Arabidopsis thaliana: one gene and its partner. The protein of the gene in region 1 interacts with the protein of each later gene in a pairwise test. Each region holds a gene or a part of one and is shown on either strand. Other genes may lie near its edges.

Evidence for each region.
Region 2: the proteins of AT2G40765 (region 1) and AT1G14340 interact in a two-hybrid assay, tested with the Arabidopsis thaliana proteins (one large-scale study listed by BioGRID).

What each region holds. Positions count from the first base shown.
Region 1 is NC_003071.7:17,002,188-17,018,903, reverse strand, and holds AT2G40765 (uncharacterized protein), read right to left. Parts: upstream 6,729-16,716; 5' UTR 6,604-6,728; coding exon 6,487-6,603; exon of another isoform or gene 5,880-6,486; coding exon 5,823-5,879; 3' UTR 5,579-5,822; downstream 1-5,578. Other genes in the region: AT2G40770 (RING-finger, DEAD-like helicase, PHD and SNF2 domain-containing protein), read left to right, coding at 216-471, 546-777, 916-1,076, 1,143-1,682, 1,874-2,040, 2,371-2,587, 2,678-2,884, 3,101-3,217 and 6 more; AT2G40760 (Rhodanese/Cell cycle control phosphatase superfamily protein), read right to left, coding at 6,936-7,316, 7,394-7,690, 7,865-7,963, 8,047-8,298, 8,459-8,854; AT2G40745 (uncharacterized protein), read left to right, coding at 10,227-10,640; WRKY54 (WRKY DNA-binding protein 54), read left to right, coding at 16,550-16,716. UniProt on the Arabidopsis thaliana protein: Component of the ubiquinol-cytochrome c oxidoreductase, a multisubunit transmembrane complex that is part of the mitochondrial electron transport chain which drives oxidative phosphorylation.
Region 2 is NC_003070.9:4,888,243-4,905,478, forward strand, and holds AT1G14340 (RNA-binding (RRM/RBD/RNP motifs) family protein), read left to right. Parts: upstream 1-9,103; 5' UTR 9,104-9,208; intron 9,209-9,452; 5' UTR 9,453-9,466; coding exon 9,467-9,585; intron 9,586-9,676; coding exon 9,677-9,752; intron 9,753-9,837; coding exon 9,838-9,951; intron 9,952-10,108; coding exon 10,109-10,534; 3' UTR 10,535-10,793; downstream 10,794-17,236. Other genes in the region: SAC52 (Ribosomal protein L16p/L10e family protein), read left to right, coding at 28-37, 307-808, 904-985, 1,098-1,166; AT1G14330 (Galactose oxidase/kelch repeat superfamily protein), read right to left, coding at 2,133-3,458; AT1G14345 (NAD(P)-linked oxidoreductase superfamily protein), read left to right, coding at 10,934-11,524.

The DNA of each region.
Region 1 (16,716 bases):
GATGAACTTTTGTCATACCTGATATATTGAAGAAGATGAATTATTAAAATATTTCTAAGAATTTGCCAATATAGATTAGTTCCATACTCATGTACTCAGACGAGCCATATTGAACAACAGCAAATTTAATCTGACAGGATTTTTTTTTATCTCCTGGTTTCCTGCAATTGAATAGCTTTTCGGAGAGATTGAGTAAAGATTTCATATTGTGATAGGTACCCTGTTATTCCGACTCCACTCACCAGAATATTTTGGTGGAGGATTTGTTTGGATGAGGCCCAGATGGTGGAGAGCAATGCAGCTGCTGCAACAGAGATGGCGTTGAGATTATACACCAAACACCGTTGGTGTATCACCGGAACTCCTATACAACGCAAACTTGATGACTTATTTGGACTATTGAAGTTTCTTAAAGCAAATCCTTTCGATGTTTCAAGATGGTGGATTGAAGTTATAAGAGACCCATATGAGGTCGAGCAGGAAAAAAAAAAACATTTCTTACCTTTTATAGTTTTCTTGTCTAACAACCTTCTTGATTTGTTCAGAGGCGAGACACAAAGGCCATGGAATTTACGCATAAGTTTTTCAAACAAGTTATGTGGCGTTCTTCAAAAGTCCATGTGGCTGATGAGTTGCAACTTCCACCTCAAGAGGAATGCGTCTCGTGGCTTAAATTTTCCGCAATTGAAGAACACTTTTACAGTAGACAGCATGACACTTGTGTGAGTTATGCTCGTGAAGTTATAGAAACTTTGAAACGTGATATTCTCAAAAGAGGTACCATGGGGTGCACATAGTGTCTTCAGCACTTTCCACTTTTGTCTTTTATTGCCTCCAAAAGTTCACTCTCAGAAGTTTGACACTTCCTTCTGTACTGGCTGCTTAAGTTTCTATCCAACTTGTGATAATCTACAGGTCATACTTCTTCTGATAATCCTTTAGTCACTCATGCTGAAGCTGCAAAACTGTTGAACTCGCTCTTGAAATTGCGCCAAGCTTGCTGCCACCCTCAAGTAGGAAGTTCAGGTTTACGCTCTTTGCAACAAAGTCCAATGACCATGGAAGAAATTTTAATGGTGATTTTGCAAGATTTAGCGTTTTAATCTTCGTTACTTATTTGTGCTAATTGAAGTTTTTCTTAGGTCCTTGTGAAAAAGACCCAGAGCGAGGGAGAAGAAGCTCTTAGAGTGTTAATTGTTGCATTAAATGGGATTGCTGCTATTGCCATGCTTAAGCAAGAATTTTCTGAAGCTGTGTCCTTATACAAGGAAGCATTAAGTATAACTGAAGAACACGCCGAGGATTTTCGTCTTGATCCATTGTTAAATATTCACATTCTTCACAATTTAGCTGAGATACTACCAATGGCCAAAAGCTACGGTGGAAAACTTTCTGCATCAGGAAGGCCTGAAACAAAAATAGATGTAAAAGATGATGATCATCATCGTGCATCGAAGAGGCAAAGGATCAATGAGCTCGAGAGTTTAACTCATGATTCTTCAGAAACTGTACATCAGCGGGAAGCTATTGCTCCAGACAATGGTTTAAAGAAGGATGGAGAGTGTCATGAAGAATGCAAAACTCTGGATATAGTTTGTGACACACTGAAGGTTAAGTATTTATCCGCATTCAACTCAAAGCTTTCTGCAGCACAGCACGAATTCAAAAAATCATACAATCAGGTATTTTCCACAAAAATATTTATATCTTTTTTTCTTTAATCTCAAAAAGCTACTTGTACCCTTAGCCTAAGTGTAAATATAATCCGTTTAAATTAAGTTTCAAGATCAGGCATGTTAAATATTGAGCATCACTTATTTTCCTGGAGCTCGCTCTCTGTGACACAATGCTAAATGGTTGAAAAACTTTCAAGGTTTCTGAGTCGTTGAGCAATATGGGGAAACAACGTTCAGTTTGGTGGTTGGATGCCCTGCAACTTACTGAACAGAATAAAGACTTCTCTAGCGAGTTGACAAGGAAGATTGAAGAGGCCCTCCATGGAAACTTAAACAATTCAAGCTCCTCCAGAGAGAGTTCTCGGTTAGTGCTTAAAAATTTGCAGTTTTGTGAGCTTTGTTTTTGCCAGAGTACTTTCTCAGCTTTTAGTCACAAATTTGTCTGTGATATGGGGCATATTTTCTACATGTGTCCGCAAAGTTATTAGAAGAAGTGACCTAAGAGACTGGTTAGCTTCATTAAAAGACTAGATTGATTACCCTATAATTTCAGTATCATATGTAGTGAAAGTCTTAGCAATAGATCATTATATTCAATCTAATCTCAGATGTTTCCTGATTTGTAAGCAGACAGTATTCTAGGAGCACATAACTTGAGTACGTTATGAACTAACTTGCAAATTCCTTATTCCAGATTTAGAACTATACATGGCATGAAACTTCATCTGCAGACGTGTATGGATATGCTGGAGAGATCTAGAAAGAAAGTGATAGATAGGATTCTAGAAATTGATCAGACTATGGAGAAACCAAAGTTGGAGGATATTGAGCGTATTAGCAACTGCAAGTATTGCAATAAGAATAGTGATGGCCCCCCGTGTATTCATTGCGAGCTAGATGAACTATTCCAGGTTTGCTCTTTTTTGCTTCTGCACTTATATGAACTTAAATCGATATTAATATTAGCTGTCACATCATCATGTATCAAAAAATCATTCCAGGAATATGAGGCTAGGCTTTTCCGTCTTAACAAATCTCGCAGGGGAGTAATGGAAATTGCGGCTGCTGAAGAGACGGTACATTTGCAGAAGAAGAGAGATGCTCGTAATCTTTTTTTATTTGGTTTATCATCAAGAAGCAAGGATCTAAATGCATCACGTGGTGATGACGAGGAGCCAACCAAAAGAAATGCTGGTGACATTGTGGTTGTAAGTTACTTGATCTAGTTTGGATTTGGTATTACTTCAAGAAGTCTTTGAATTCATTACTGAGAATAAATCCTAACCACATCTCTGTTTATTAACTTTATTGATACGGCGTTCTCTATTTCCTCTTTTGTTTAAAATCTTTTGAAATGTCAAATAATATGATTTTGTAATGATCGTCGCAGTCTGATAAATATTTCTTTTATGTTCTTATCATAGCTTTCAAAATCTCCATCTGAGACGGAAATAGTTCTTGGAGTGATAAGAAACCATTGCAAAACTCATTTAGATAGGGAAAGCAAATTGGCAGCTACAAAACATTTGCATACCCTTGAGGTATTGCCTGAGAGATCCCTTCTTTGCTTACATTGAGAAAGGGAAAACTATTCCTTCATTTTTGTAACAAGATCTGACATTTCCAATTTTGCTTATCTAATTAAGGTGATGCGAAAGGAATATGTACATGCAAGGGTCTTAGCTAGGGATCAAGCTCAACTCCTACGTGCCTATGATGAGATTAACATGTCAACAATGAGACTACAGCTTAGAGAATCGGAAGATGACACATCGATCTATGCTTTGGGCCGGGACGAGTTAGATGTTGCTAGTGTGCTGAACACAAATGACAAATTTATGGCTCAATCCTCGTTGCTTAGTATAAAAGGGAAACTTCGTTATTTGAAGGTAAATCTGTAACCTTAGTGTGTTATTAGCCTGACCTCCTATTTTTATCATGCCTATAAGTCATTTATATCTGTGTTACTATTAAGAAGTTTACGTGGATAGTTACACTTGATCACATTTGTTTTGCAATTCCAGCTCCAGAGCTCTACCCATTTCAATTTTTTAGTCACGAGAAGCTATAGTTATGTCTTTGTGGCTAAGTTCCTTTTTGTGAGACTTTGGATCGCTGGAAAATATCTGCTTGCTTTCCCTCTCTTTCTTTGATTTTGTATCCAATATTGAACAAATCTTTTTTCCGTTGCAGGGTTTGATGAAATCCAAACAGAAACAAGAATCCGAGAGTCCAGATCTTTCCTCACCAATACATGAAACAGTCGATGCTTCGGATCCTGCTGAACAGGAAAGCGAAAACCTGCTTAAGAGAGATGAAGCATGCCCGATTTGTCATGAAATTCTAAGGAATCAGAAGATGGTTTTCCAGTGCGGGCATTCCACTTGCTGTAACTGTAATTACTTTGACCTTTCGATTGTTTGTTTTTCAGCTTCGAGTTTTAAGCATTTTCTTTGTGTTCCATTAATCTACTATATTCTTCGTGAACCTAAAGAATGTTACCCATATCTGCTTCTTTGTGTTTGTTCACACAGGCTTTTTTGCTATGACTGAGCGCAAATCAGTTCAAGAAACGCTGCAAAAGTGGGTGATGTGTCCAATATGCAGGCAGCATACAGATGTTAGAAATATTGCATATGCTGATGATAGAAGAAACAGTTCTTCGTCAGATCAAGATCACAAAGACAGTGAAGCATCATTGGTGGTTCAAGGTTCATATGGAACAAAGGTTAGTCTCCTTGCTTCTAAGATCAGTGCACAAGAAGTACTTCTTTTTCTCATCTATTGTTTTGGGGGTAGATTGAAGCTGTTACTAGAAGAATCTTATGGATCAAGTCAAGTGACCCACAAACGAAGGTTCTTGTTTTCTCCAGCTGGAACGATGTTCTTGATGTGTTGGAACATGCCTTCGCTGCAAATAGCATCACCTGCATCCGGATGAAAGGGGGCAGGTAATGTAGTGAGAATTTTAATGGGGAGTCTGTTAAAAGTGGCACATAGGTAGCCTAAGGGATGCATGTAACTTTTATTTTATGGAAATGTAGGAAATCACAGACAGCCATTAGCAAATTCAAGGGATCTGAGAAAGAAACCCAAAAGACAAACTCCCATCAAAAAGAGGAAAAATCGATTCAAGTGTTATTGCTTTTGGTGCAGCATGGTGCCAACGGTCTTAATCTTCTAGAAGCACAGCATGTTATTCTGGTGGAGCCACTTCTAAATCCAGCTGCGGAAGCGCAAGCTGTTGGGCGTGTTCACCGAATTGGACAAGAGAAGCCTACTCTAGTTCATCGGTTTCTGGTTAGTGTATCTGCTTTGTTTGCCACCTTGGTCTTGTACAGCTTCAAGATCCTGCCTTATGTGATTCACTTTGATCTTGACCTCTCTTTTTTGGGGAACCAGGTATCGGGCACAGTGGAAGAGAGCATCTACAAACTGAACAGGAATAAGAATACAAACTTAAGTTCATTTAGCAGCAGGAATACAAAGAATCAAGATCAACAGTTCTTGACACTAAAAGATCTTGAATCTCTATTTGCTTCACCAACAGCAGAAACAGCAGAGATGGAACAAAACCCAGGAGAGAGACAGGAGAATCTGAGAGATCTACCACCCTCAGTCGCTGCAGCATTAGCAGCCGAGAGGAGAATGAAGGAAAGTAATGCATCCTCATCAACTACAAACGCATCATGACTATGGAAAAGGTTGCAGAGAGATTGGTTCCAGCCAAATGTTTGTTGGAGCGTCTTGTTGTATGCACATAAGATGGTGAAGAGAGAAGCTGCTCGAAATAATACTTTCTCTTTTGTGTCGTCCACGTTCATTATGTAGGTTAGGCAAAGGATAAGCTCTTTTATTTATTCATTGTATTGCAACAGACATTACTGCGTTAGGTCTTCTATACTTTGACATGGAAATAATAACTCATGATAAATGCAAAATGGGTTCTCTTTTCAAGTAACTTGGAGTAAGTGCTTTTCTTGTTTGTTATAACATTTGAGAAGACAAATCAGTCAACTACATTGAAGAAATGAAACCAGAAAGCCCCAGAAAAGAACCAAAATTTATTCAGCTCCACGCCAAAGAGGCGGTAACAAACTTAGAAACTGGAAAACTCTTCACTTAGTCTTGAATCTTGGTGATATCTCACTTCTCTTCAGTTGGGGGTGGGTCAATGAATGTCTTCTTTATCCAACCAAATGGCTGTGATGATAAAGAATGTGTCAGATACAATACATTATGAGTTTGAAAAGAAGCTTAGTAAAATAGGGTCACTAGCAGCTTAAGGCGCCTAATCTCTTCATAACACCAAACCAAGAGCAAATTGTGTCTGTAAGTGATGAAACTAATTCATGAAGAAACAAGCTCATGTATCAGTCTGAAATAAGTGCAACTCTATCCTCCTTAAGATGTTAATGGCGTGAAGCAAGGATCAATAGAAGCTAGGCATTTTCTGTAGAAGACTAAATCAGAATGTAAGTGAAACCAATAGTACAAGGAAAACGAAATGAAGAAGATTTGATCACCAATTCAAGAATAGACTAGCACCAAAACGAATCAAGCCTTTCATGAAACGTAATTATATGCAACGATGCTCATAAAAGTAACCACCTTTATAGATAATCTAATGAGATCAAAGCAAGTAAATTTGATAAATGGTGATCAATTATGAAATTTTCATCTTTCAACCAGATAAAGCCAACAATTTCACCAGAAACATAACATTAGCTAGAGATAGAGATCCCAGATCAGGACCATAATCCGTGAAAACCAATCTATGGCCGGAAAACAAGAGATCGAGATAGCTTACTTGGACGACCCAGATGGCACCGGCTGCGGCGGCGATTCCCCATCCAGCGGCGGCCTGAATATCAATCGTTTGGATCTTTGGCTTCACTGCGTTGAGCAATCCAGATGTTCCTGCCATTACTGCTTCAATCTCTCTCTCACTCTCTCCTTCGCTATGAAATTCGATCAAACCCCACAGAGATCCTTAACGAAATGACGATAATCAATTCTGCGGAATTTTTGACATTAAAAGAGCTTCTTGACCTAGTCAAACGTCAATTTTACACTTCCTGCCGTTCTACTTATTAACACTTGAACAACGCGCCGTTTCTAGTCGTTGTTTCTAGTCGTTGTTTCCGATATGCTTAAAAAAATTCAAGATCATTGCCTCATTGATTAGCGTTTAAACTCTTTAATGTAAGTATGTAACAATGCAAATGATTTCAAGAAGAAGAACAAAACAACATCATTCTATATTGAAGAACCAAGCTTTGCATTGATCTTCTTCCTTGGACTATCAGGTTTAGTGGCGGGTCGACGACCTTTGTCCGGACCACCAATTACACCCCATTCCTCAAACTGTGTCTGCCTTGCTCTTGCCCTTTCTTTCTCCTCTTCTGATTTCTTGGAGTAACAGTAAGGGCAAGAAACTCCATACTCGTACTCTGGAGCTTCCATGTCTTCATCACTTATAGGTTGCTTGCATCCATAGCAGAGTTTATGTGTTCCTTGAGCTAGACCATGTTCCACAGATACACGTTTGTCGAACACAAAGCATTCCCCTTCCCATAAGCTCTCGGTTTTAGGGACTTCTTCAAGGTACTTTAATATCCCACCTTTCAGATGATATACCTGATAACAAAAATGCTTTGATCTTTTAAGTACCTTTGAAACCAACAGAACAATGGTTAGATGTTGTGTTAGGTTACCTCTTCGAAACCTTGGCTAAGAAGGAGGCTTGAAGCTTTCTCACACCTGATTCCTCCAGTGCAATACATAGCAATTCGTGGCAGCGTCTTCGGTTTTTCAGCTTTGTCTTCTTTATGGGTGATTTCAGAAAAATCCTCTTTCTCCACCTTTGCTTGCGTTTCATTGCCTTCTTGCTTCAATGCAAATTGATTCTCCACCCAAGATGGGAAATTTCTGAAAGCTGTGGTACATGGATCCACAGCTCCTTTAAACTTCCCAATTCTAGTCTCATAGGTATTACGCACATCAATCACTACCTGAAACACAATAGTACTTAAAGATCTGATATCATCGATCTATCTACCAGAACATTTAATCAAGAGAGAGCAGAGAAAATGAGTCCTAAGTGTATAAACAGTTATCAAGTCTTTATTCAAATTTCACTGAGTTCTTGACTAAACTTGCTACAAGATGGTAAAAAGAGGACTCACAGTTTCTGGATCACTGATCAGTTCGTTCCATTCTTCGGGACTCACATATGTTCCAACTCTTTCAATTGGCGAGACACTAGGAATTCCAAGCGTAACAATCTGCACAGACATTGCAAAAGAAAACAACTCTTGACAATCCACAAAACTCCTCCAGTCTCAACTTCAAAGACTAAAAAGTGTACCTCTTTCTTAAGTTTGACCCTAACATGATCCCATCTAAATGGAGCATCTTCACCAGCTGCAAGAGGAGAGCTACTACTATGTCCATGGTGAATTGCTTCTTGCTCAGGACTCACAGGTGTCTCCACTTGCCTCAAACCATTTAACCGGACATCTCTCTGTATAAATGCCAACACTTCCTCCACTGATTCACGAATCCCACAGATACTTCCATTTATCCCTTCTGGTGCAAGAATGATTCCACCTGAAACACGCTGGTGAAACAAGACAATCCAATCTACATTAGTGATTAGTGCCTCAAAATCTAAACCAAATTTTCATGATCAATACAAACACTCGTAAGTAAAGACTTAACCTTTCGTAGACAGACACTAAAAATCTACACTTTTGAATGAGATAGAAGAAACGCCATACCAATTTTTCGCAGAGATCCTTGAGAGGCTTCCTGAAATCAGCATGCTCAGGAAAATCAGCGAATTTGTAGAATGAAACTACAACGAGCGAGCCTAAATCCGAATCAATAGACTCTGTTCTCTCTGAGAATGCCTGAGAAACAGTAGCCATGCTTCTCCGTATAGCTCCGGCGTTTGAACAAGCCACCGTGGATTTCAGAGAAGAGGAAGGAGAGGAAGAGAGTTTATGGGGTTGGGATTGAGGGAATTGTAACTCGGGTTTGGAGTTTCCACCGACTGAGTTCGAATTCACGCCGCCGCCGGAGAATGGAGAGTGTGAGTGAGGAGGGGGTGGTGATGAGAGCATTCTAACGACGGCGAGGGACGGCGGAAATCTCCAGTGGTAAAACCGTAGCATTGGGGACCCAATTCAAGCAAAGTCTCTGGGAATTCAACCAAACCGGACTAAACCAAAACGTAGGTGTTTCCCGTACGAGACCGATTCATCATCTTAGCCATTCTTTTTCGTTTTAAAAGGTTTTCAGTTTTCAAATTTTATTGTTTTTTTCTTTATTCATTTTAAAATTTAAACTAAAGAGAATTATATACATATGATTTTTAATTTATGCAATATCAAATATGTTACGTAAGTTAATAAATTTTAATCGATTAATTTAAAAAAGTAATAATATGAGATGCATATAAATAAACCGCAAAAATAATAAACAAGCCACAATTCGATCTTAATTAATTAAGCATATATACTAAAAAATTGTATGAATATGAGATATAAATATACAAACCGCAAAAACAATAAACAAGACAAACAATATATATATATATGTAGATTATTAATAAAATAAAAAGTAAATGAAATAATTAGTATTTAGTTATAAAGTAGATATATATTGAGTCAATAAATTTAGTGTGAACAAAAACTTTAATATATAAATTAATAAAATGGAAAGAGTTTCATAAAGTTTCATTGAAGAAAATAAATAATTGATAGGTGGTGTTAACCATGGAAGATGTTCTAGTTAATTGCTAACGATTTTTGGATTAGTGACCTCTCGTTTAGGAAATTACAAAAGAGAATGAACAAAAAGCGACAAATATTTGAATCCACAACATGTTTTTTTTCAATAGGAAATCAATCTTGCAAATGAATCTATAGGTATATCCGTCCTAAAATAAAAATGTATGTTCGGAATATGCAAGATTTCCAGTAAGAAAGAGCTGTATGTGTCGAAGCTTATATTAGGTATTTTATTTTCGTTTCTTAAAATATGATTATCCTAACTTCTTACCATGCATTTTGTAGCTATCTTACTAGTTTACTTTCAAGCCATAAGATATTGAATTTTGTTCAACAGCATTTAATATCTTACTGCATTTTTATATAGTTTTGACTATATTGGGGTTAGGTTTTTGAATAGTAGTCAAATATCATAACTAAGAATATGACCAAAATAGATATTATATAGAAATAAATCTCTAAATATGATATTTCATTGTTTTTAGTATTTGAAATGGTATTAAGAAACATTCAATTTTTTTTATTATTCAAACAACATTTATTTCTCATTGTTTAGCATCTATTTTTTCTTGTTTATAAACAAAGAATTACAACATGAAACACGTGCATTTTAACATAAATATATTTAGAAAATGTCGAATTTCGTGAATTAGTGAGAGAAAAAACCACAAAAACAATTGTTGAGGTGTAGTTAAGTTGACATATCAATCACACATATTATTCTACTCAGATTTATTATTTGAAAAGAAGAAAAATGCGAGGGAAAAAGATAATAATCACAGGTGAAGATGTGAAGCTACTTGTGAATATCTTTGGTACAATCGGAGTCACCAATGGTCGCCCATATCAATACAAGGTTGAAGCTTGGACAAATGAAAACGAGAAACATGAAACAAAGGTTGTAGCAACCGAAGGAGATCCTGAGTTTGATGAAGAATTACAACTTTTTCAAGATCAGAATTTTCCCGTAGAATCTTTATATGTAGATGTTTTCAAAACGAATTCAACTGGTACCTATTTCGTTGGGAGAAGAGTCACATTGTTGCCAACGGTTAAAGGGGTTGATTTTTACCGTGAAGTTAACCTCTCTGGTCCTGAGGAAACCGGATTTCTTCAATTGTCACTTACTCTCATGGAATTTGAGATACTTGGTTATGTTCCTTCATGATTTATCATCTGTATGTGGTTGTGAATTCTTAATTTGATATTGTTATGAATAATGAATAATGCATACTGATAATAAGTTATCATAAATTAAATCATGCATGTTTGCATATGTACTAATGATAATATGAATAATGGAATTCAAGCAAGTTGTCTTGATTTATTTATTTGGATCTTCTAATGACGATTGAATGTTTTGAGGGCATCTCTTCTTCTTCTTGATGAATCATCATCATCATCGATGGCTGTGTTGGAATGTTGACATTAATCTAGTTAACGAATAATGGTTCTTCTTAGAATCTTTTTTTTTTTTTTTGTATATTTACTAATGATAATATAAATCATGGAATTCAGGCAAGGTGTTTAACGAGCTATATCATTAACAAAAAATTAAATGTACGAAAAATATTGTGTTTAAGTCTCTTAACTTCCAACGATTTAATGCTTTGGAATTGGAGGCATTTAATCTTAAGTTTTGAGGATTCGTGAAATAAGGGTGTGTTTGCTAGGTAAAGTATGATGTTTATTCGAAACGTAAAAATCCAATTTTATAATCAACAAGGTAAAATTCCAACAAATTTTCATTTTCTTGATGTAGAACCCAAGAATCATTATTCAGCAGTTAGCAACAAGGACAATCAAGTTTTAATAATCATTGATTGGTTTGCTTCATCCTCAATTTATTTTCTCCTATTTATGATTAGATGTCTTCTGTTTAATCAACGAATGGAAATTTGACACGTGTGAGATTATTTATCAGTGTTAATAGTAAATGCCAGCTGGATTGTCTAACACAGTCAAAGTTGGTTGACCTCTAACACTAGATTTTAAATTTTGACCGTTGATATTAATCTTACGCGAATCAGTTTACATCTTAGTCGTTTATCAACAAGACCTTCTTTATATAAGTTGGAATCACCCTTTGTGGCGGTCGTTTAGCTCAAATATTAGTAACTGTTTTTATTTTTCCGGTAAATGTTAGAGAATGGGAAAACAAAATCTCTCAATTTGTAGCTAAAATTTTGATTTTACTTTTACTTAATAACTAAATGTTCATACGTAGATTTGTTAACATATTCTCCCGGGAGGCAACATTTACCCTATTTATAATAAGTAAATTTGCTAACCAATAGAAACGAAAACCTAAAGAAAGAGATTATTACTATGGAGCGGAAGGTTGTTGGAGATCTGACGGAGTCTTCATTGAAGATAATTTTTGTTCTTGATAAAGGTACCTACGGCTCGTGTCTAACAAGAATGATTCAAACTTGAACAAATCATACATGAAGAAGACAAGTACGCTCAAACATTCCGAGAATCTCGAGAGGAGCTTAAGACCATGCTTCACTTCCACGCCAATCCTTTCTCATGGTGTGGAACCAGACTAGATTGTGCCGGTCTCTTCGTTAAGGTCGAAATCTGTTGTAGAAGTCGTCTGAGAGATAGCCATGTCGGGGCGGTAATTCTGAACTCTAGAAGTAGGAGATGACACCCATGAGGAAGATGATAACAGGAATGAACGAACTCATCATCTCTAGCAGCAAAATGAAAACCAAGATGCAGAAGAAAACGAGCAGTGACTTTGGTGTGCTCTTCCACATTATGATGCCATCAACCACATCGCCACACCAAGATAGAGAACCCATAGTTCTGCTATAGTTAACCATGCTTCTACGGATACTCCATAAATAAGATTCCAAATTCAGGATGTAGTCCAAATATATCTCGTGAAGACTACGTTTGTTTTTAATCCCAATTTTTGAAATATTGTAATTTCTTTTTAACATATTTGGTAATTTAATCTAGTTAGTCATTTACATTAGCCATACAAAAAGAATTATTAGTTTGTATTAAGTAGTGATAGGATAATAAACATGTGAAGAAGACGAGGAACGAGAGTATCATGTTAGGAAAAGAAGATGCAGAAGGCGACTCCTTATAACATCAATAGAAATACGATAATTCTTCTTCTAAATTTTGGTTCGCTGTGTGCATATTTTGTCTATGTCATATAACATTTTTTTCTAAGTTAATGTTATGCTAATTTGTTTGTCTTTTCATATGTTTAAAGATTTTTCAACCATGTATTATATTGTAAACTCACGTGGATCCACCACTTTTCGTAGATGTATGAAGTAATTTGAACAAAAACTTACAAATATTAGTTTTATAATCTTAAATATATATATATATATATATATATATATATAATGGTAGCATATAATGGTAGCATCTTTAAATCATTTGTGACAACTAAATAATATAATAAAATATTGTATTTCCTCTGTTTTATTATTATTTTATTTTATAGAAAAAATTATTTCTAAAATATTAATTTTTTAGATTTTCTATGCAATATTAATTGGTTATAATTGATGAATATCAAACTTCAAGATAAATAATTAAATATTAGTTTTTAATATGTTTTTTAAAATATATGTGTTTAAAAAAAAATCAATTATTAAGAAACAAAAGAAGTATTATTTACCTTTTATAAATATTAAATAAAACAATATTTTTATATAATAAACTACAATTATTTGTATAAAATTTGCCGTTTACAAATGTAAATTTATTTCGAGCTAAACTTAATAACTAAAGAGGACAAAAAAAGATTTTGGAAACGTGATATATGTGGTACATGCCGTTTACAACGTATTGCGTACATAATTATATATTTCTAAATTAAATTTAAAGATTGGTGAAGTGTATCAAAACCATTTGTGATAATACTTGACACTTGGTAACTGTATCACCACTTTAATTGAATCTCAAATATTACGATTTTTTTATCAGTCAGGTTGACTTAAATATAACAAATCTATAGACAATATAGGTAATAAATTTTAAGTTTCTTATAACTGGCACGACCAGAATATCCATAAACGAGCACCGGCTTTTGTATATGTTTTAGGAGTCATGTCTTTTAATTTTAGAGTCCCTTCTTACATTGAACGACCTTTTGGCTACATATGTAGACACAATCAATAGTTGATCATAAACAACTTTATATATGTATATATATATATATATATATATAGATATTTATATATTTATAACTTTATAAGACAAAGAGTGGGTTCAGATTAGTACTCACAGAACTCAAACAATAATAGAACCGATCAACTAGCCAAAACAGAAAAGTGTTCCTAGTTGAAATCAAATGACACCTAGAAATAAAACAAATCACTAGGTTACAAAAAAAACGGTTTAGTACAAATTAAAACTTGATAGTTTGAGATCTGAGTAGTGATCGCTAAATGGGATTTAGTTCTAAATACATTAAAGATTAAAAAAAGTAGAGGCTGCCGTAAAATTAGTGGGGACTAATTAAGAAATAAAATAAAGTAATAATGACCATAATTATAATTTATATAACTATGAGTTGGATCTAGTTGAATTATTGACGTTTTCAACGTACTTTTATTGGTGTTCAACTTTTTCTGTATTTTAAAAAAATAATATGAAATTAGATTCGTACGTAGCAAGGACTGTCTCTTGCGAATTGATGAAATAATTATACTTGAGACAAAGAATTCTCTGATTGGGTATAGCACGAAATAAGATTCAACTTACACATTTAAGAACTATATGTTTTGCATATAAAAAATTAAACCAAATTTTAAATTTCGTGACAGATAATGATCCAGAGTAGTCTTAGCGATAAGTAGCAATCCGTTAATCGAGGCCTCTTGGTTAATTATTTTTTAAGACAACTAAGCTTAAGATTAGATTAAGCACAAAATGATGTATTTATAATAAACATTGTTATTATTCTAATAACCATTTGTCATTTGTCAATAGCAGTTCCCCAATCATCGTTGACCTTTCTCTCATCATCTCCGAAAGAAAGCAATAATTTAACATTTGAATATAACTAGTGTCCATATTTTGACAATCTCTAAATGATTAATCAGTTGGGATTTATAGATAAATGCCGAATTTGGATGAGTAAACGAAGAAGTAAAACAAAGCTGTTTGGACATATTTATTGGTTCAAACCGAGAAATAACACATTCATCTTTTTACGATCGAAGTCAACTACTACAACAACAAAAATATCGTTAATTAGTTCGTACACAAATTATATTTCATAAATATTTCATCGTTCTACCATTATACTACTCACCGTTCATTATTATTGTTGGTATAATCTGTTTCGTTAAGTTGTATGATAAATTAAAACTAGTAAAGCCGTTTTGTTTTTGTTTATAGTTGAAAAAGTAAGCGTAATATAATCTGTAATTTCTAGAGAATTAATAAGCAAACAAATGGATTTGACTCTTATGGATTTTTTTTATTTATTTGCGAGTGGATGTACAATGTGGACTGAAATTATTGTGACTCCGAGGAGTACTCAGTGGCACCTGCCCCCTCATTGCCGTCACAATATCCCAATACTAAACAAATGTTACTTTTTTAAAAAATATTGTTTTTTTTGGTAGGAAAAAAGATGTATTGTTTTATGCGTCACAGAAATAAAAATAATAATTAACCAACTCAAAATTACTCATTTTAATGAAACGAAGATATTTTTCATTCAACGGATCAAAAATTCAAAATGAGTCATTTCTTACGATCATAGGTTTTAATTTATTTTTGGTATTAAATGAGATGACTCACACAAATATTTCAATAGTTACACGAGTATTAATTAAAGTAGTGACAGTTTCAACAAATTTTAATATTTTTGTTCAGTTCAAAATTCATAGATTTTTAATAAAATCAGTACTGCCAAAGTGATCAGGGCCAAGCAAGCAATAGGCTGACATAACCTAGAGTTGTGACTTGTGATTGTATTGGTTCTTTTACCAAATGATCCAAAACATTGATTATCTACTTAAGTACTTTTCCGGCGTTTTTAATGGCAGTTCTACAAAACATAAAGATAAAATTAAATAACGTTGGCTTAGTATAATGAGATTAATCTTGATTACTAGTTTTAGATCCGAACTAAGCGGTCTCACCACGATTATCTATATATATATATATATATATATATATATATATATGCTTATAGCTTTTAGTTTTAGTAGCTAGTCTATCCATGACAAAATTCATCAATGAGAATATTCATTAGGATCCTTCTGCTTCCGTAAATGCACGAGAATACACACGTATAAATAGTTTCTTCTTAGGAAAAATACTACTATATAGCAAAACATATACATTTATATCTTCAAAATAAAATTACGAGATTGATAAAACTCTAAATATTATTCTGTCTTAAGACTATTTGACCCAATTACTCTTAAAATATATTAGTGGTTGGTCTGATATAGAATATATCTTGTCAACATTTATCCTCTTTAATTATCAAAAAAAAAAAACAGTTCTCCTTATTTTGGTTCTTTCCCTTGAAAGTGAATTTCGTGGTACTGAAAAATAATTTGAATGTCATAAAATATTAGTTATATAACTCTTTCTCCAAGATAAAAACAAAATAATTTTTCGCAAAAAACATTTAAAAATCTAACCAAGTTGTTGGATCGTTTTCATGAGCATTAATTAATTAAATAAATCCGCGAAGAAAGGAGAAAAAAAATACCCACCAAGCCATCAAACGTGTTACGGAGATGGGTGATGTCATTCCACATCATCAATGTGACATAAGCAAAGCTCTTGCAAGCCAATGGGTGAATAGATAAGTTATAACTTTCCAATTATAACCTCAAATCCATGACTAAATTCATAACTACGTTGGTTACTTTCCCTTTATACCCTTTCATGTTCATTATAATGCATAAGCATCTCTCTCTCTTTCCTAAGCATCTTCCTTTGATTTTTTTCTGATCAAGAGAAAAAATCTATTTTCTTCTCTTTCCACTATATTACAACATTTCTTCATTCTCAAATCATCATACTAAAAACCTAAAAAAAGTTACATATTCATTGTATCTTTGTGAGAAAAAAATGGATTCGAATAGTAACAACACGAAATCCATAAAGAGAAAAGTTGTCGACCAACTTGTCGAAGGCTATGAATTCGCTACTCAGCTTCAGCTTCTCCTTTCTCATCAACACTCTAACCAGTACCACATCGATGAGACCCGTCTTGTTTCCGGGTCGGGTTCAGTTTC
Region 2 (17,236 bases), on another chromosome or scaffold:
GGCCGAGGAAGGATAAAGAGAGACGCCATGGGAAGAAGTAAGTTTCTCTCGATCTCTTGTGACTTCTCTGTCAGGATTTCTGTGTTCTTCCGATTCCTCCATGGATTTAATTAACCAAATGTTCTCTCTTTGTTGCGATTTTGAGATTCTGCGATTCAGTTTTTCTATTCATCGGATAAATGATTAGGTTTATATAGTTTCTCTTTAGATACCAATTGATTGATTAGGTTTTTATATACTGTGATGATTTTGAGCTATATGAGTTTGGTCTGAGCTGAAATCTGAATAATCTGAATATTGATTTAGGACCTGCGAGGTGTTACCGTCAGATCAAGGGTAAGCCATACCCAAAGTCTCGCTACTGTCGTGGTGTGCCAGATCCAAAAATCAGGATCTACGATGTTGGTATGAAGAGGAAGGGTGTTGATGAGTTTCCATTCTGTGTCCATTTGGTGTCATGGGAGAAGGAGAATGTGTCAAGTGAAGCACTTGAAGCTGCCCGTATTGCTTGCAACAAGTACATGGTGAAGTCTGCTGGAAAAGATGCTTTTCATTTGAGGATTAGGGTTCATCCTTTCCATGTTCTCAGGATTAACAAGATGCTTTCGTGTGCTGGAGCTGATAGGCTTCAGACTGGTATGAGAGGTGCTTTTGGTAAAGCTTTGGGTACTTGTGCTCGTGTTGCTATTGGACAGGTTCTTTTGTCTGTTCGTTGCAAGGATGCCCATGGTCACCATGCTCAAGAGGCTCTTCGTCGTGCTAAGTTCAAGTTCCCTGGTCGTCAAAAGATTATTGTCAGCAGGAAATGGTATGTTCAAAGATTGATCCTTGAATCATTTTGTTGTTTGATTGTTTTATGGATACAAGTAAGCTAACTCATCAAGTCTTTGACTTTTTTTTCAGGGGCTTCACGAAGTTTAACAGAGCTGACTTCACCAAGTTGAGGCAAGAGAAGCGTGTTGTCCCTGATGGTGTCAACGCTAAGGTATTATTGGCTTTACATCAGAATTGTCACTCTTTGATCCTATAGCAGTGATAGTTATCATTGGAAATATCATTTGTTGTTGAATTGAACAATGTTTTCGTTTTTTTTTCAGTTCCTCTCATGCCATGGACCTTTGGCTAACCGTCAGCCGGGAAGTGCCTTTTTGCCAGCCCACTACTGAAGAGTATCAGAACTGAAGTATCCTTCTCATTCCGGTGAAGAAGAATTATAATCAGCCTGAATCTTTTTACTTATCGTTATCTCTGGTGTTGTTTTAAGTTTTTAGTTGGACACAATCAGTATTCTGAATCTTTTTGTGACTCTTTTGTTTAAGCTCTGAAATGATTTTGTTCCTTCGTTCTTGGCCATATATCTTTCATTTGCAAGTTTTATCATGGCTTTAGCTTTAAATATTTTAATTGAAGATTTGCTTGAAAATCGTTGAAGTTTTAGATAGAGATGGGTGATTGCCTTGTTGGATCATTTAGTATGCATAAAAGATTTGAAATTAGCATAGCAAGCCCATCTTAGGTATTGTCATGCAAGGCTGAGAGTTCAAAGAGAAAATGACAGAGACCTACCTACACGTCAAAATCAGATGCAAACTGCCATTTTCCTGATTAAGTCTATCTTTGTTTTTTTTACTTTTCAAAGAATTAATTGCCATAATTTCTGAAGAAGGAAGCAAAAATCCCAAAACAGAGAACCAAGAGAAAGGAGAAAAATTGAAAAGTTTATGGTATTACTTGCAAGCAAAAGATCAAGTTATCTTGCAAACAACAACTATAAGATTAAAAGCTCTTTTTCTTCTCTTATCAGAGAATTGAAAGAAGAACACACAAAACACATAATATAGTCTCTTTGCGAAAAAATGAATGAAACGAATATAAACAAAAATTTTAACAAATAGTATAGCAGAACTGAAAAACTCTAGATTCTGAACTTTCTCCACCAAACTTATTACAAGACCTGTTTCTGTTCTTTCCAAGAAACTAACAATACCACCAAGATGATTGTATCCAATTGAATTCAAATAAATTTCTTTTATAACCAAAATTAATAAGAAAAAAAAGACTGCAACTTTCGACATCTCCAACGGCAGGAGAATCATAAAAATCATCTGAAAGTTATTGTTGAAACCCTTTTATCAGCAACCCATCACCGCGCAATTGTAAACAAAATTCGATGAATGTTTCCTACCGAGCAATGTCCATAGAGGCGGACTTCGATCACTAGATGGTATCCATGAATTCAGTTCAATGTACCCTCCACCTGAACTCCTAGGACCACCAATCACAATCAACCTCTCACCGCAAGCTCTAAACGCTAATCCCCAACCGTTAACCGAGTCAGCTCTTTCGGGCAATCTCCCTAAAGTAAACCATTTCTTACTCTCCTTATCATACTTCCTCACTTCCATATCAGCATGATCAGCAGCATACAATTCGTTATTCACAACCGCAACAAGAGGCGGCGCCTCTGCTGCTGCCGGCATTTCCCGGCTCCTTGGAGGCGACATTTCCGGTATCTCAGTCCATTTCTTCGTCTCTAAATCAAACTCCTCACCACAAGTAAGCACTTTCGAATCATTTCCACCAATTCCTCCAATCACATAGAACTTCCCATCCATGAAAACACCTGAACACATCTTCCTTGGTTTATTCATCTTCGGAAGTGTAGTCCAAGTCTGAAGCTCGGAGTTATACATCTCAGCGGAATCACTGATTTTGCCAAAAGAATCAAAACCACCAGCAAAGATCGCAATCTCTCCTAGACTCGCTGAGCCAAACAAACACCTCGGAGAATTCATCCTCATACCGGAAGACCAAGAGTTAGTCAAAAGACTATATCTATATATAACATGAGAAGAGTAATCATCTTTGCCTAACACAAGCAAATCCGTACCAACAGCTAAAGATTCTTTATCGGCACACATGAATGTAACACCTGAAGGCATTGTAGGCAAATTCATCCATCTTCTTTCAAAAGGATTGAAAGCAACCCATTCCAAAAGCTGACAAGAGAAGTAAACCCAATGTTCAACAATCTGGTTTTGCCTCCTGAGTCTATAAATCTCTCCGGTCTTCACCAAAGACCGAAAACTCCGGTTTAAAGAAGCAATCGAACCGTAACCAGACCTCGAGCAACGAATCAAACAGCTTATAGAATTGTCTCTGCCAATATCATTGATAAGTGAATCGCCATCGCTATTACCATTGTTGTTAGAATCAGATTGGTCTTGTTCTTGTTCATCTTCTTCAATGGCTTCATTCCCATGAATTGAAAATCCCATCAATCTGGGAGACTTGCTCTGTCTGAGCTCATCAACATCATTCTCCAATGCTCTTTTGCCATTGATGAGATTAGATTCAGAGGAATCTTCTGGTTGTGGATACATGTATGGCCACTTTGATTCTGAAAGACGAGAACTTGAGAAAATCCTTGACATCAAATATGTCCGATCTTCCACCATCTTCTCCGTACAGATTCCGATGTTAGAGAAATCAGATCGAGACGAGACCAAACACGAAATGCAAAATGGCTAAAAGAGAGAGAGAGATTCTGAGAAATCAAAAGACGATTAGATGATCCAAATCTCGATTGATAAAAATGGATTCAGAAGGAAAAACAAAAATTTGTCTCTTTATTGAAACATCAATCGCCAAAACAAATTTGGTAGCTTCAAAAGTCAGATCTTTAGATTCCAAATTTGACTCGGAAAACAAAAAAAGAAAACCCAGAAAAACGAATCACTGATCTGAATATGATTCCTTTAGCGGAGAAGAAGAAGGAGAGAACAATGGAGAATCTTTAACAAGGAAGAGATTATATAATAATAATAATAATAATAATAAGAAGAAGAAAGTACTTACGGATTTGGATTAACGAAAGAGAAAGAACAAAAAAAAAGAAGATTAAGAATATTTATTCAATTGTGGTCTGTTGGAAACTCTCTGCGAATCGGAAGTGAAGCGTAATGAGTTTCCTCAGGTCTGAAAGTTAAACTCTTTGGATGTCGAATTCAACTTCTCTCTCTCTCTTTCCTCTGTTTTATTCTTCTTCTTTTTTTTACTTGGGTTAAAGCTTTTGGAAACTTAATTAATTTAGTAATAATGGTTTCTCTTTCTACATGACGTCCGTAGTCCAAATTATTCAGATAAGATTTTCATAAAAGGAAATATTTTAGATTAAAAAATCAAGAAATTCAAAACTGTTTCTAGTTTTGTTTTGTTTTCTAGTGTTTTGAAGTTAATTAAATGTTCTAAAGTTTCAGTACTTTACTTGTTTATTTTTTTCCTCTGGTCAAAGGATGTTAAATTGCTTTGTAGTAAAACTCTATGTACGTCATAGTTTTTATTTCTTTGTTTTTCTACAAATGTACGTCACCAAAAAAAAACAACTTTACGTTTTAAAAGATAGATTTCTGTATGTAACTATTGACAATTTTTGAAGGTAAAGTTGATTTTTGTGAAGCACAGGCTAATTTCCGTGTTCAATATTTTTTTTGATTAATATACAATTTATCTGACCAATTACACGTTATAAAATCCTATATTCCACAAAGAAAAATATTAATATTATCTCTATTGAATTATTTTAGTTGTTTGCTAATACGAAAAAAAAGAACATATAAACGATTTTAACTAGACTACTAAAACTTTTTTTTTTCTTTTTTGACTAGTAAAACTTGAACACTACAATAATTATCTTAGACGAGATATATGAATTTTGGTTTGAAATTGTATCGATGGAATATAATTAGTGGGACAAATAAAGGACGACCTAGACGCATTTCCACGAAATATTATTTAGGAATATATAGTAGTACTTTTTCATTGGAATATAATTATACTTTTTCTGTTCTTCGAACATAACATTTCAGTTAAAAACTGTACTGGAAAGAAGAGGATGTATGTTTATCTGAATAAGCTGAACAGATAAATTAGGAAAACGAGAAAGCTGTCGACAAAGTGATCTAGAGGTTCACGGAGCACGTGTTGACGCACGTGGGAGTATATCTTTGCACATTAAATCATGAAATTAGTGTATTAATACCATTGTTATTACTAGTAGTTTATTACCGAGATTAATGCATTACTTATTTGTTGTCCGTTGACCAGAACTGATATGGTGGGTGGGCTCTTTTATCTCATCGGAAAAAATATTATTCGTCCGTTCTCTTGGACGTGTTGGTTTATCATAATTTTTATTCATCTACAAGTGTTTTATCGTTTAGCTGATGGCCTTTTTCAAAGCATGAGATAAATCTAAATGTAACAAATACTAAAAGATTAGTAAGACACTTATTATTATTATGGATAAAGGTCTTGATCGTACCATATGTTATCTTTACATATTTCACGCATTGATTAGAATTTTGATAAATCATCGAAGCTTAAGTCGCGCCGAAAGATTTTAGCGTGCAACTAAAGGATTATTATATTGCGAGTTGCATCTTGGCAGCTGTAATCCACTCATTAATTGCCACGTGTGAAGGCCATCTTTAAACATTATTTGGACGGTAGAAAAGAGCTTTATCAGTCGTTAGAATTTGTGAGTAATCTAATCAAATCATTTGCATATCTATCTTTCTAAACTGTGTTTTTTCTCTTATTTTGTTATATCTATCTTTTTATTTAGTTTTTGCTTTATCTTCTTAAGGCGAGATGTATGGTATCGTTAACAGTTAACACGGTATTTTGACTATTATCCAAGCTCGTGAAACCTTTTCATAAGTAATTCAAGGTGCAATGAAAATGAAAAAAAAAAAAAAATCGTTGAAGTTGACATCGTATAGAAGAGGTCTAAGATCCATATTTTATGTACTACTTTATAAATAAATTACAAATTTAATCTTTGAGACATTGTGGTGTTAATAATAACCATTTTGTATTTACTGAATTTCGATAATGTTTGTGACGTATTGTTCTATCAAAGTTTCCAAGTTTGATAAGATTTTTGGAGTCAAAGGTCAATAACTATGAATTTAAAATTCCGTTACCTTTCAACGATATTTATCTAATACTATCTCAGCAGAAATGCAGTTACCCTTAATTAATAAAAATATATATATATTCTACAGAGCTGTTTGTATTTTCATATGGTAAAGTTTCATTATCTTTTCGTTTTCAATGAATATTGGTTTTGACTTTTGACCACAAAAACAAAATGAATATTGGTTGGAGAAAGGTTAAATATAAATTTATTTATTTTTGCTTTCGAATTTTCTTCTAAAATTATCGAATAGGTGACTGTTTTTTTTTGGCGTATCTTATTAGTGACTTGTGTCTGAAAGTGAAGTCCTAAGAGCTGTCCACGTGATCTGTTTGTATTGTGTGTTCACATTCCTTTTCTTTCCACATTAATCTCTCTTATATTAAGTGTCTTAATTGATGACTACATTCCTAATTTATATATGTGAAAGTGTTATTAAGAATCTGAGTATTGTGTTACATAAGAATGGGTATAAGATTGCTAAAGAGAATCCCCAAAATTTTGTTTGTATTTATTTTCGAGTAGTTGATATACCTTCTCATGTGAGTTACATTACTTTACGAGCCATTATCCGACGCGTGAAAGCCCAGGCTACATCTGTATTCACAACTGAGGAAAAAGACAAAATTGCCAACAAAAGTATTAGGTTGAAAATTGATCATTACAAGTTGCAAGTTGCAGCACATTACAATATTTTCTTCTCATTACAAAAAATATCGAAAAAGATTTTTTGTGTGTGTATTTGAATAGCTGTTATACCAGCTAATTGTTTTGAATTATCCGTCGTAAGGAGATAACGTGGTGGCTCCTAATACCTTTACTTCTTCTTTTCTTCTCTTTTGGCAATGCCTTGTCATTCAAGTCAACGTCGAATTTCAACACGTGCTCTTCGTAAACTCAAGATTACATAGATTTGAATGTAACTAACTTATCACATCTTATATCTAGTCTTCTAAATTTTGCTGTCTATGGATAATATAACATAATATATGGTATATAAACAACACATTATGATAAATATCTTAAATACATTCACTTTAATGGGATCGTATGAAAACATTTTGTGTTTCTTTTGGTCATAATTGCAAGTTGAAGTATTGGTTAATGCTGACCATCAGGCAAATACGAAGAGTAAACAATACATGATTAACATCTAAGAATTGTTTGTTCTGGTTTCGGCCGTTTTAGTTTTCGGTGGATATGGAAAAATGTGTAGAACAAAAAGGTTCAGAACTCCAGAATTCTACCACACAAAAGAAATTGTTTCAGGTTTGACGCTTATAATTTATGATTTGTGGAACAATGACAAAGATTATCATCGACTAATCTTAGAAGACACTTATTAAGAATCACATATGAAAAAAGCTTACTAGATACAAATAATATAATAACAATAAACAAACTCTATTAACAATAGAGGAAAATTGGGAGATATCAACTTGGAATGTGATATTTGAATCGACTAATCGAGTCAATTAAAGACAAAGAAAATTATGATTTAAGAAAAACAGGTGAGTTTGATAAAACACGTTGTAGTCTTGTTGTAGATCTCCGAATTGACGTCAACTCAATATCAAAATCTTTCACTATGAAATTCAAAATCCGAATCAAAACGTCTAACCTAGCTATAGAATATATACATTAGTCAATGGTCAACCTTTTATATTTTATTGTTATAATCATATATGGTGAAGATAATTGTATTTGGAGGACCAATATTCAACTATTTCCTGTAATTTAGAACATTTATTTTTTTCTTAAATATATGTTTTTTGCTTATATATAGTCGCAATTTTTAGAAGTTCCATAATCCATATACTTGAACTTCTAAAGCTATAGTCGCAAGCACCTTATTGTTGTTGTTTAATAAAAGTTCTAATTTTGGTAGACAAGTGAAAAAACAAAATTAAACTATCTGGTGTTTACATATATGAAAAATATACATTTCCAGCAGTGAATTTTGGTTTTGCATGAAAAATACATAAATAGCAATTCACTGCAGCAGGGGTCAGAATATAGAAACATGAACCACACACATAAAAAAAAAGTAGATTCTGACTAGATCAATCTGAATTAAAAACTAGTAAATTTTGACAGACGGACGTGGCCGTGGAAAGAAGTAGAAAGAGACAATGAGAGATGGAGAAAGAGAGACGTAAGTATTGATTTGGCCAACGGCTCATATGCAAAGAATATTAATAATAATAATGTTCTTTGCGTTTTTTTACCAATTACATCAAACATTTGTTAGGCACACGTCTTTTCTTTTTCTCCTTTTTAGTTAAGGGCATCTCCATCCATGAAAAACCCACAAAGTTTCTCAAACAAAAAAAAATTAATATTATATTATAATTTGATTTTTTGATTAAAAAAATATTTTTATTAAAAAGTTGAATCAATAATTAAAAGGGAATTATCATGATGGATTGTAGAGAATATCTCAGAGTTTCTCAAGTAAGAAACTTTCTACTCTCTCTCCTTCATTTTTATTATTTTTATTTTTTAATTGTGAGAAACTCTTATAAAAAACCCCCAATGAAAATGGTCTAACTTTCTTTTCCGTTGAATTTCTCTCATGTATTAACAGTAACATAAGTATTTATATCACATACACTTGTCAAATTTGTCTCTTTAGAGATTTTAAAAAGTTATCACTTAGAGAACTTTTACCTGTTTGGACTTTGGACGGTTAGACAGATAATATCTAAAATTACTCCAATTTTTATATATACATGCAATACTAAGGTATAAAAAAGGTTCTAGAATGTTAAAATCGTTGCTGAAAAAAAACAAAATCGTCTATAGATTGTTAATTTTTGCTTCTTGTACAAACACTTAGTAATGATTAATGATTTAATTTTAATATGTAAAGACTGATTTTTAAAATAAAAAATAGCATAAGATGAAAATTTATGTTTCAAAAAATATTTGTGATTATGGGTTGTTTGAGACTGGAAAATAATCAAACAACATTGGGCCTTTCATGTAGAATTTTTTATTACATTTAGAACCGTTAACGATATGGGCTAACTCAAGACATTAAAGGCCCAACATTGAGTTACTAAACGGCGCAGTTTTTAGCTTTTTAAAATTGCGTCTTTTTCGTTCACTGAAAAGGTAGTCCTTCTCTTTCCCACTCACATCATCAACTTCATCAATTCATCACCTTTGTCTCTCTTTCAAGCTTCTCTGTGTGTGATCTCCGTTGGTCAACAACAACTACAACAGGTAACTTCTATTCTTCGATTCCTTAAATTTCTTCTCTAGAGCTTAGTGAATCAACGATTTAGGTCTGAACATATTTGGCAATCTGTCCTTGCTCAAATTTCGCTTGAAAATTTCAATCCCAAATCATGTAAAGCTAAATCGGAAAGTTCTATGTAGTTCCCAAAGTTGAATCACGAACTGGAAGTAATTTAATTTATTGACTTAGGATATGTTGAAATTTTTAGGTTTTTTGTTTTGTTTTTAGCTTATTGAGCAGAGATGGATCATCAATTTGGATATGGTGTTGAAGTTACTGGGTTATCTCCATCTGTTACTCATAATGATCTTATCGATTTCTTCTCTTTCTCTGGTACTATCCAAGATATTGATATTGTCAGGTGAGTCTTTTTACTTTTTAGCAAGTTTGTTGTTTGTTTGCTTATTCTGGATTCAAAAGAGTACACTTTGTAATGTTGTTAATGAGACTAGGTCGGGTGAGCAAGCTTGTACTGCTTATGTGATGTTTAAGGATTCTTATTCTCAAGAAACTGCTGTTTTACTCACTGTAAGTGTTAGTTTGGATTTGATTCACTCTTTCTATCTTTTTTGGATGTCTCTTGAGAAATCACTCACTTCTTTGATATCTTCAGGGCGCAACGATATTGGATCAGCGTGTTTGTATAACTCGTTGGGGACAACATCACGAAGAGTTCGATTTCTGGAATGCGACTTCGCGAGGTTTTGAAGATGAATCGGACTCACAAGTATGTATCGCTTTTGACACTTCTCTCAACTTTGATCTTTCTGTCTTCTTTTTTTGTTAAAATAGTTAAATCTAACGGTCACTGGTTCAGTAGTCTTTATGTTGAAGTTTGATGCTTGGTCTCAATTCTAAAGCTTATTCGTTCTTCAATCATGTAGCATTATGCTCAACGAAGCGAGTTCAACGCTGGAGAAGCAGTGACAAAAGCTCAAGAAGTGGTGAAAATAATGCTTGCCACAGGATTCGTGCTAGGCAAAGACGCTTTAAGCAAAGCTAAAGCCTTTGATGAATCCCACGGCGTATCAGCTGCAGCGGTGGCTAGAGTATCTCAACTAGAACAGAGGATTGGTCTTACTGACAAAATCTTTACCGGACTTGAAGCTGTTAGAATGACTGACCAAAGGTATCATGTTTCAGATACAGCTAAATCAGCTGTCTTTGCCACAGGAAGAACCGCGGCAGCAGCTGCAACTAGTGTTGTCAATAGCAGTTACTTCTCCAGCGGAGCTCTTTGGCTGTCTGGTGCATTAGAGAGAGCTGCTAAAGCCGCATCTGATCTCGGTACCCGCGGCTCAAGGCAGTGAATAGACCAATGGCCCGATTCAGAACCGTATTCGTCTGTGAATATATATGATGCAAAGCTGATCATGAATAACTGGCTCATGAAGTGTGATAAGACCAAATTTTATCAAAACGAATACCATATAGAAATCTATCAAAGTATACTCTCACATGATGATGCTGATATAGAGTTTGGTTACATTACCTACATCTTAACTCTTCATTAGTAGCATAATCTTTTTTCTTATATAATTTCTGATTTATATCATTCTATGGTTGATATTGATTCAATATTTGGATAGATGTTGTATCCATAGAGCTTAGGCCACGTGGCACAATTTGCGCCAAAAAATCAAATCCAAAAAACAGAGAAGTCATCATCTTTTCACTCCAAATCTTCCAGTCACTCAAATCATTCTCTCATGGCAGCTTCTTCCTCAATTCCGCCGTCAACCGCCGTAACCTCCGTCGTTCGCAAATCTCTCCTCCTCTCAACCACCTTCTCCTTCCCCGCTTCTTCATTGTCTCCCTCCACGAAACTACCACAAAGACACATTCAAAGATTGCTCCTAGCTTCCTCCTCCGCATCCGCATCCACCGTTCCTTCCGATTCCAAACCGGCGAAGAAAGAAACAGTCTACTTCGACGGCGGAGCTCATTACGGAGATCTATTAGCCAATCTCATTCTAGGTCTAACCATCCTTTGGCTCCCACTAACCTTAGCTGCAGTGTCTCGAGCTTTTAACCTTCGTTACAGGTTCACTAACCTCCGCGTGACGGTTATTTCGGGACTCACCGGAGATGATCGGAGCGATTTCTCGTACAAAGTGATAAAAGACGTTCAAGTTGTGCCGAGGTTCATCGGAGAATGGGGAGATATCATCATTACTTTGAAAGATGGAACTAAAGTGGATTTGAGAAGTGTCCCTAAGTTCAGAGAGATTGCTAAGTACTGTTTATCTATGGCTGATCAACCTGCTGTTTTGAAAGAATCTGGTGCTAAAGGCTTTTGATTATTTCTCATTTCTGGGCAAAATTGATTCTTCTTGTTGTGATTTCTTCAGTACAAATCGAATCCTTTCCATGTTCTTTCATTTGTTATTGATTTCTTCATCTCTGTATTGTTAAGACGATCGTATCTAAACGGCGCGCGATTTTAGCTCTACAATAAGAAACGGCGTGATGTTTGGTTAATGTTGAAACGGCAGGTAGTCCTCTTTTAGATTAGAGAAATGGCATGGATATTAATACTATCTTCTTCTTTTTTATTCATATGGCTGCATTTTAAGAATATAGAGGATTAACAGCCCAAAGTTTGGATTAAAAAAAAAACAGCCCAAAGTTATTTATTAATTATTCAAGTTCAAAATAGCGTCAATTATCTTTAATTTATATACACGTTTATTTATTTCTACTTTTCTAATAACCAAGATTCATCATAAGCAAATTAATCTCTAAAAAGTAAAAACTATCAAGTTTATACAAATGGGCAAACGAAAATGTATAATTTGAATAATGTGCCCACATTAATTTCTATACTCGCATATGAAAATATGATTACGTTTTTTATGGGATAACGGATTCAAATACAAGAAATGGGATTACATATTCAATAGCTTCCTTTGTTAGTACTTTAATTCTAGTAGTTCAAAGACTAATTAATAAGAACTACATATGGTCCTATCTGTTAAATTTGACCATATTAATCTAATAATCTCCATTGGATTCCACTAAAATTTGTTAAAAAAATATTAGTAGAGAATTTCGTAAGAGAAGGTTGATGAGTATGTATAGGGAGTCTTATTAAAGCTTCTGCCTCTGACACATTCTCATCAAATCTTATGTAGTCTTCCCCATTTCCCAATTTTGACCATATTATTCTTGTTTTTATTCTTTGTTTATCATACCCCGTTGTCTTCTTTCATTGTTTATCCTATACGTTTTCTAATCACATATAGGGTGTGATATGGTGAAAGCAAAAAGATGTGGGAGTAAAATAAAAATAGATTTTGGCGTAATTATTTCTGTCCATTTTCTCTAATTGTTTTGTAGCGGAAAAAATTATAAAGTTTTCGACACTTTCAGCTCAAACCTTTTTTTTTCCTTTTTCTGTGAATCATAGGCGAATCTAGAGTAATATTTTATTTTACTCTAACAAATATAACCAATAACACCCATAGTTTTTATATCTCCACTCCAATGATGCACTATTTTTAGAGAAACATCCGAAATATGAATACATTATCTCCAAAATATAGTGTTAGAAGTTGGTTTCGCAATGTGAGTTCATAGAAGTTGCATATAAAGCATAAATATACACCGTAAAGATAGATGGCTCACTATCCACCAGCAACTTTCAATTAAAAAGGAACATTTTGCAGAATTCATATTTCTCTCTTTGTTCCCAAGCTTTATGTCACATTGTTTCACATGCATGGGCAGAATGGGCTGATTGGCACATATGTGCACTTACATGTCCGTGCGCTGTGCGCATCTGTAAAAGTTCATGTCTACATGGTAAACAAGTACGCGTATTGAATACGTACACATACATACCTCTAAAATGGCGTATTCACGAGAAATCCAAAATACAATATGGGATCAATATCCAATATCAGCTGAATTCTTCGGATAACTTAGAATCTATATATAAAGCAAAAACCTTATAATATACTATTAACTTTATCTCAAAAAGGAAAGTGGTTAATTCTGAATTTGGTCAGTCTTTTTAATTTTAAAATAAATAGAAAAAGGGCGGCGCATAGTAGAAGTTTTGTCAAATGTCAGGCTAACACGCATCCTTAAATTGTGCAAGAATGTCTTTCTTACACCCTCCCATTGTTTCCTCATATAACAGATAAACTGAAAAATTCTGCTGGTAGATCATTTTGAATAATTTCAGAAGGATAATCCATATATATGCTAACTTTAACAAAACAGTATATATATAAAGCAATGAAAAGAAATTAGAGTGATCATATCTAAAAGATAAGAAACCTTAGTATAAAGCCAAACTAAAAATAGAAAGGTTAGTGTATATAATATATACAAGGAAAATCTGATGATCAAGGGCACCTTAATCGAATGATAACGGAGGACTAACTAAAATTAAAATGGACATCGGATTCCTGAGACTATATAAGAGCTTTTCGTTGTAGCCTTGTAGGTATAGGAGGAAGTATTTTAAAAGAAGAAGTAAAGCTGGCTCCAATATGAGTGAGGCCCCATGCGATTGTAGGAATCCCAAGCAAGTTAACCTCTACTAAACGTTTATATTTTAAATGCCGGAAAAAATAAAAAATAGTAGTGCGTGTTTTCTGGATTAATTTGAGGTGTGTGTATATTTTGATCCAATTTTTTTTCTAAAAACTAACCTTTTTGTTGTTGTCTATATTACTCTATATGTTTCGGAACTGTCAATATACTGTATTTAAGATATAAAATGTTCGTTAAAATTCAGATATTATGGAGCCTTCATTTTGGAAAATATCATATTTATCGTCTTCCCCTCTCCTCCTCTGCCTTGACTAGAAGAAGTCTAGAACCCAAGAGGTATGGGAGCTGAGCCCTTAAACCAAATGAATCGACTTTTGTTATATAAAATGAGTCCATACTATACGATGTGGCGAATAAAAGATAAAAGGCAACTTAGTGATGATACGAGAGCCGCATGAAACCGAAATCCACGGGCACGGCCTAATTGTACTATAGTATATAAAAGTGTACATATCTATATAAAATATTTTTTTTTTGTTAGAATAGGATGATGGTCAAAAGATATACATTGCATTATAAAATATGATCTAAATTTTGTTCTCTACTATAATTTTAAGTAAGAGTCTTAGAAATTTTAAGTATCTTTTCTACTGTTATTTTAAGTAAAAGTCTAGAAATTTTAAGTATATATGTTTTCTACGTGACAAAATTAATTGACTTAAAATGGTTTAATCCTCTAAAGTTATCATGCATTGAGTGAGTTCGAATTCCTATATAAGTAGAGATGAAATGGTACATGACCATTAGACTAAAGAAACAGGAAGATATAACATTAACGCATAACCATACGTACGTAACTACTACTACCGTACTACGTACGATCTATAGTAACGTGTGTATATAATAATAATTAATACCAATACAATTGTTCTGAAGAATCGTTAAACGGAATCGAATAATCACGTAGTATCCGATCTACGTAGATATAACTCTCTCTCTTTTTTGTTTAATTGTATTTCAATAACATAGAAAATCACTTACTCTTTTCTTTTCAGAAAATCTCAGTTTTCTTCGAAGTCGCTAATTTTTGTTTTGGTTTAACATGTAGACGTAGTGGGCAGCGACGTAGGGAGAGAGAAGAAAGACACGTGGAGGTGAGTGGTATGATTTGGAGACCGCTCCTACTTGGGCATGATGTGATCAGAAAAAGAGCCCCACGAACGTTTTCATCTCATTAAAACTATAATCAATCTCTCTGGGAACTTGGGCCATTCCCTCCAACAACTAACACCATCGACACATACTTTTTGCTGAGTTATTTTGTTTATATATTAATTATGATTATCAATGTATTAATCTTTTGATTATGTTTGTCAAGATATTTTTTTTTGTGTGCAAAGTTTGTCAAAATATTTGAGTCACCACTTTTATTGTGGATCTTCACAAGTTCGCATACTATCCCACTTATCATTAAAACTAACGGAAACTTTTGTAGTAATAGATTATCAAAACATAATATATATGTAGTTTTAAGTATTTCATTCCGATGATTAATTTTAGTTAAGTAGAAGTCCATAAAACAATGAGGATTCACTGTTGGAAAAATAAAAAGAGGATTCACCACTGCTCAATTCTTTTTCTTTAGATGCATGCTAAGTAGACCATACATTGTAGTGTTGCTTTCATGATGAGGATAAGGTTTAATCTCTTTAGAACACAAAGTAAGAAAAAATATATGCCATATTATGCATATGTATTAGTTAATTAAATTAAATTAAATTTACTGTGTTTATGACGAATAATATGACAATATTGTCACGGACTTGGTCAAAAATATTTGCTGCAAAGTCCACATAGGGTTGGCCATAGCCTTGGAAAAAATAGAATATTTTCAATCACTCTTTCTATTTGGACCCTTTGCATATTTCATTAATATGTTTTCAGTCTTTTTTTTTTTTGTCAATAAAATATATTTTCAGTCTTATTTCTCCTAAATTGACGTCGATATAAACTCAACATAATATGGAAATCAATATTGTGTATAGAGTATTTATGCAAATTTATACAATCCGAGAGCTAGTGGAGATAACAGGTGCTTCAAAAGCATTAGGTATTGATCCAATGGGATTGTAGATGTGATGGAAGATGTATGTTCACTCTCAATCACAGTAGATCCAAAAAAAGCCACACAAAATGGCATAAAGAGTCGAGAACGACCCATGTGGTGGAGGGAATACTTTTCTTTCTCCCCTTTTAAAAAACTATCTTGAACATATTTACGAAAACCAAACCTTAACAGATATTTAATGTATACATAATATTTACATGAGTATTATCTCAAATTACTTAAGACATGATTTGCTAATCTCGACTTATACGACGATCTGCTCATCTCGACTTTCTTAAAATGATTGTTTTCCCAATAGAAAAGTTAAAAGGGGGAAAACGTTTCCATTCAATTAAATGATTGATATTCAGTTAATCATTTAACAGCAAAATCAACATCCAATTACACGTTCATGTATCCATTTAAAAAGGATTAAAAGAAGAAGAAGAAGAAGAAGAAGATAAAGTAGTAAAAGAAAATTTAAAAGGCATCGAATATTATAAAGACCTAAGACTTCGTTGGATTAATTTTAAAAGAAAATTAAAAAGTGAATGAGTTTGTAGTAGTAGTGTAAAATGTGAACTAAAAGGAAGGCTTTTGTTGAACAAAAAAAAAGAAAAAAGGAAGGCTTTTACCTAGGGTTCCATTATTTATCATAGACTTTAGTCCTTTTTTGGTTTCTTGTAACTCTATCGGTGTCTGCTTGTGGGCCTTCTCATACCACCGACCCTTTTGCTCCATAACATATATACACACACCTTTGTTTATTTAGTAATTTGTGAGAATGACTAGTTTTTGTTATTTGTCCCCAAAAAAAAAAAAAAAACTAGTTTTTGTTGTTATACGATGTTCAAATATTTGTACACATTGGAAACATAATAAGTCAATTCAAATTACGCAAGCTACCACCTTATGGTAATATCTATAAGAATGTAATAACTAAGTAGGTTTCCACATTATATTGGTTTTTAAGATTACCTCAAAAATCTATTATCTTTTGTTTCAAAATATTTATCGATTTTAGGCATCGAATCTAGTTACATACACCTCTATTATTTGAAAATGAATGAACTGATGATGATTGAAGTGTTGAGAAATGTGGGTGATGTCATGTACAGTAAGTCAATAATATTGTAGTGGAGAGAACAGAATGAAGCAGTGAATCACTGATTCTTCCCCGCCAAAACATCCGAATCTAATAGTATTAACAGTTCAAAACATCGTTTTCTAACCTGATACTAGCTTAATTATATTGCATTTAGAGTTTTGTTTGGTTTACTAAAATTGAACCCATTGATTTTTCCTTGACATGCACTTGTCAGCAATGCTATGTGCTTTTTATTTGGACATATATGTGTCTCAGTCTCACTGTCTCCATGTGTATACATCATTCAGTTACAAA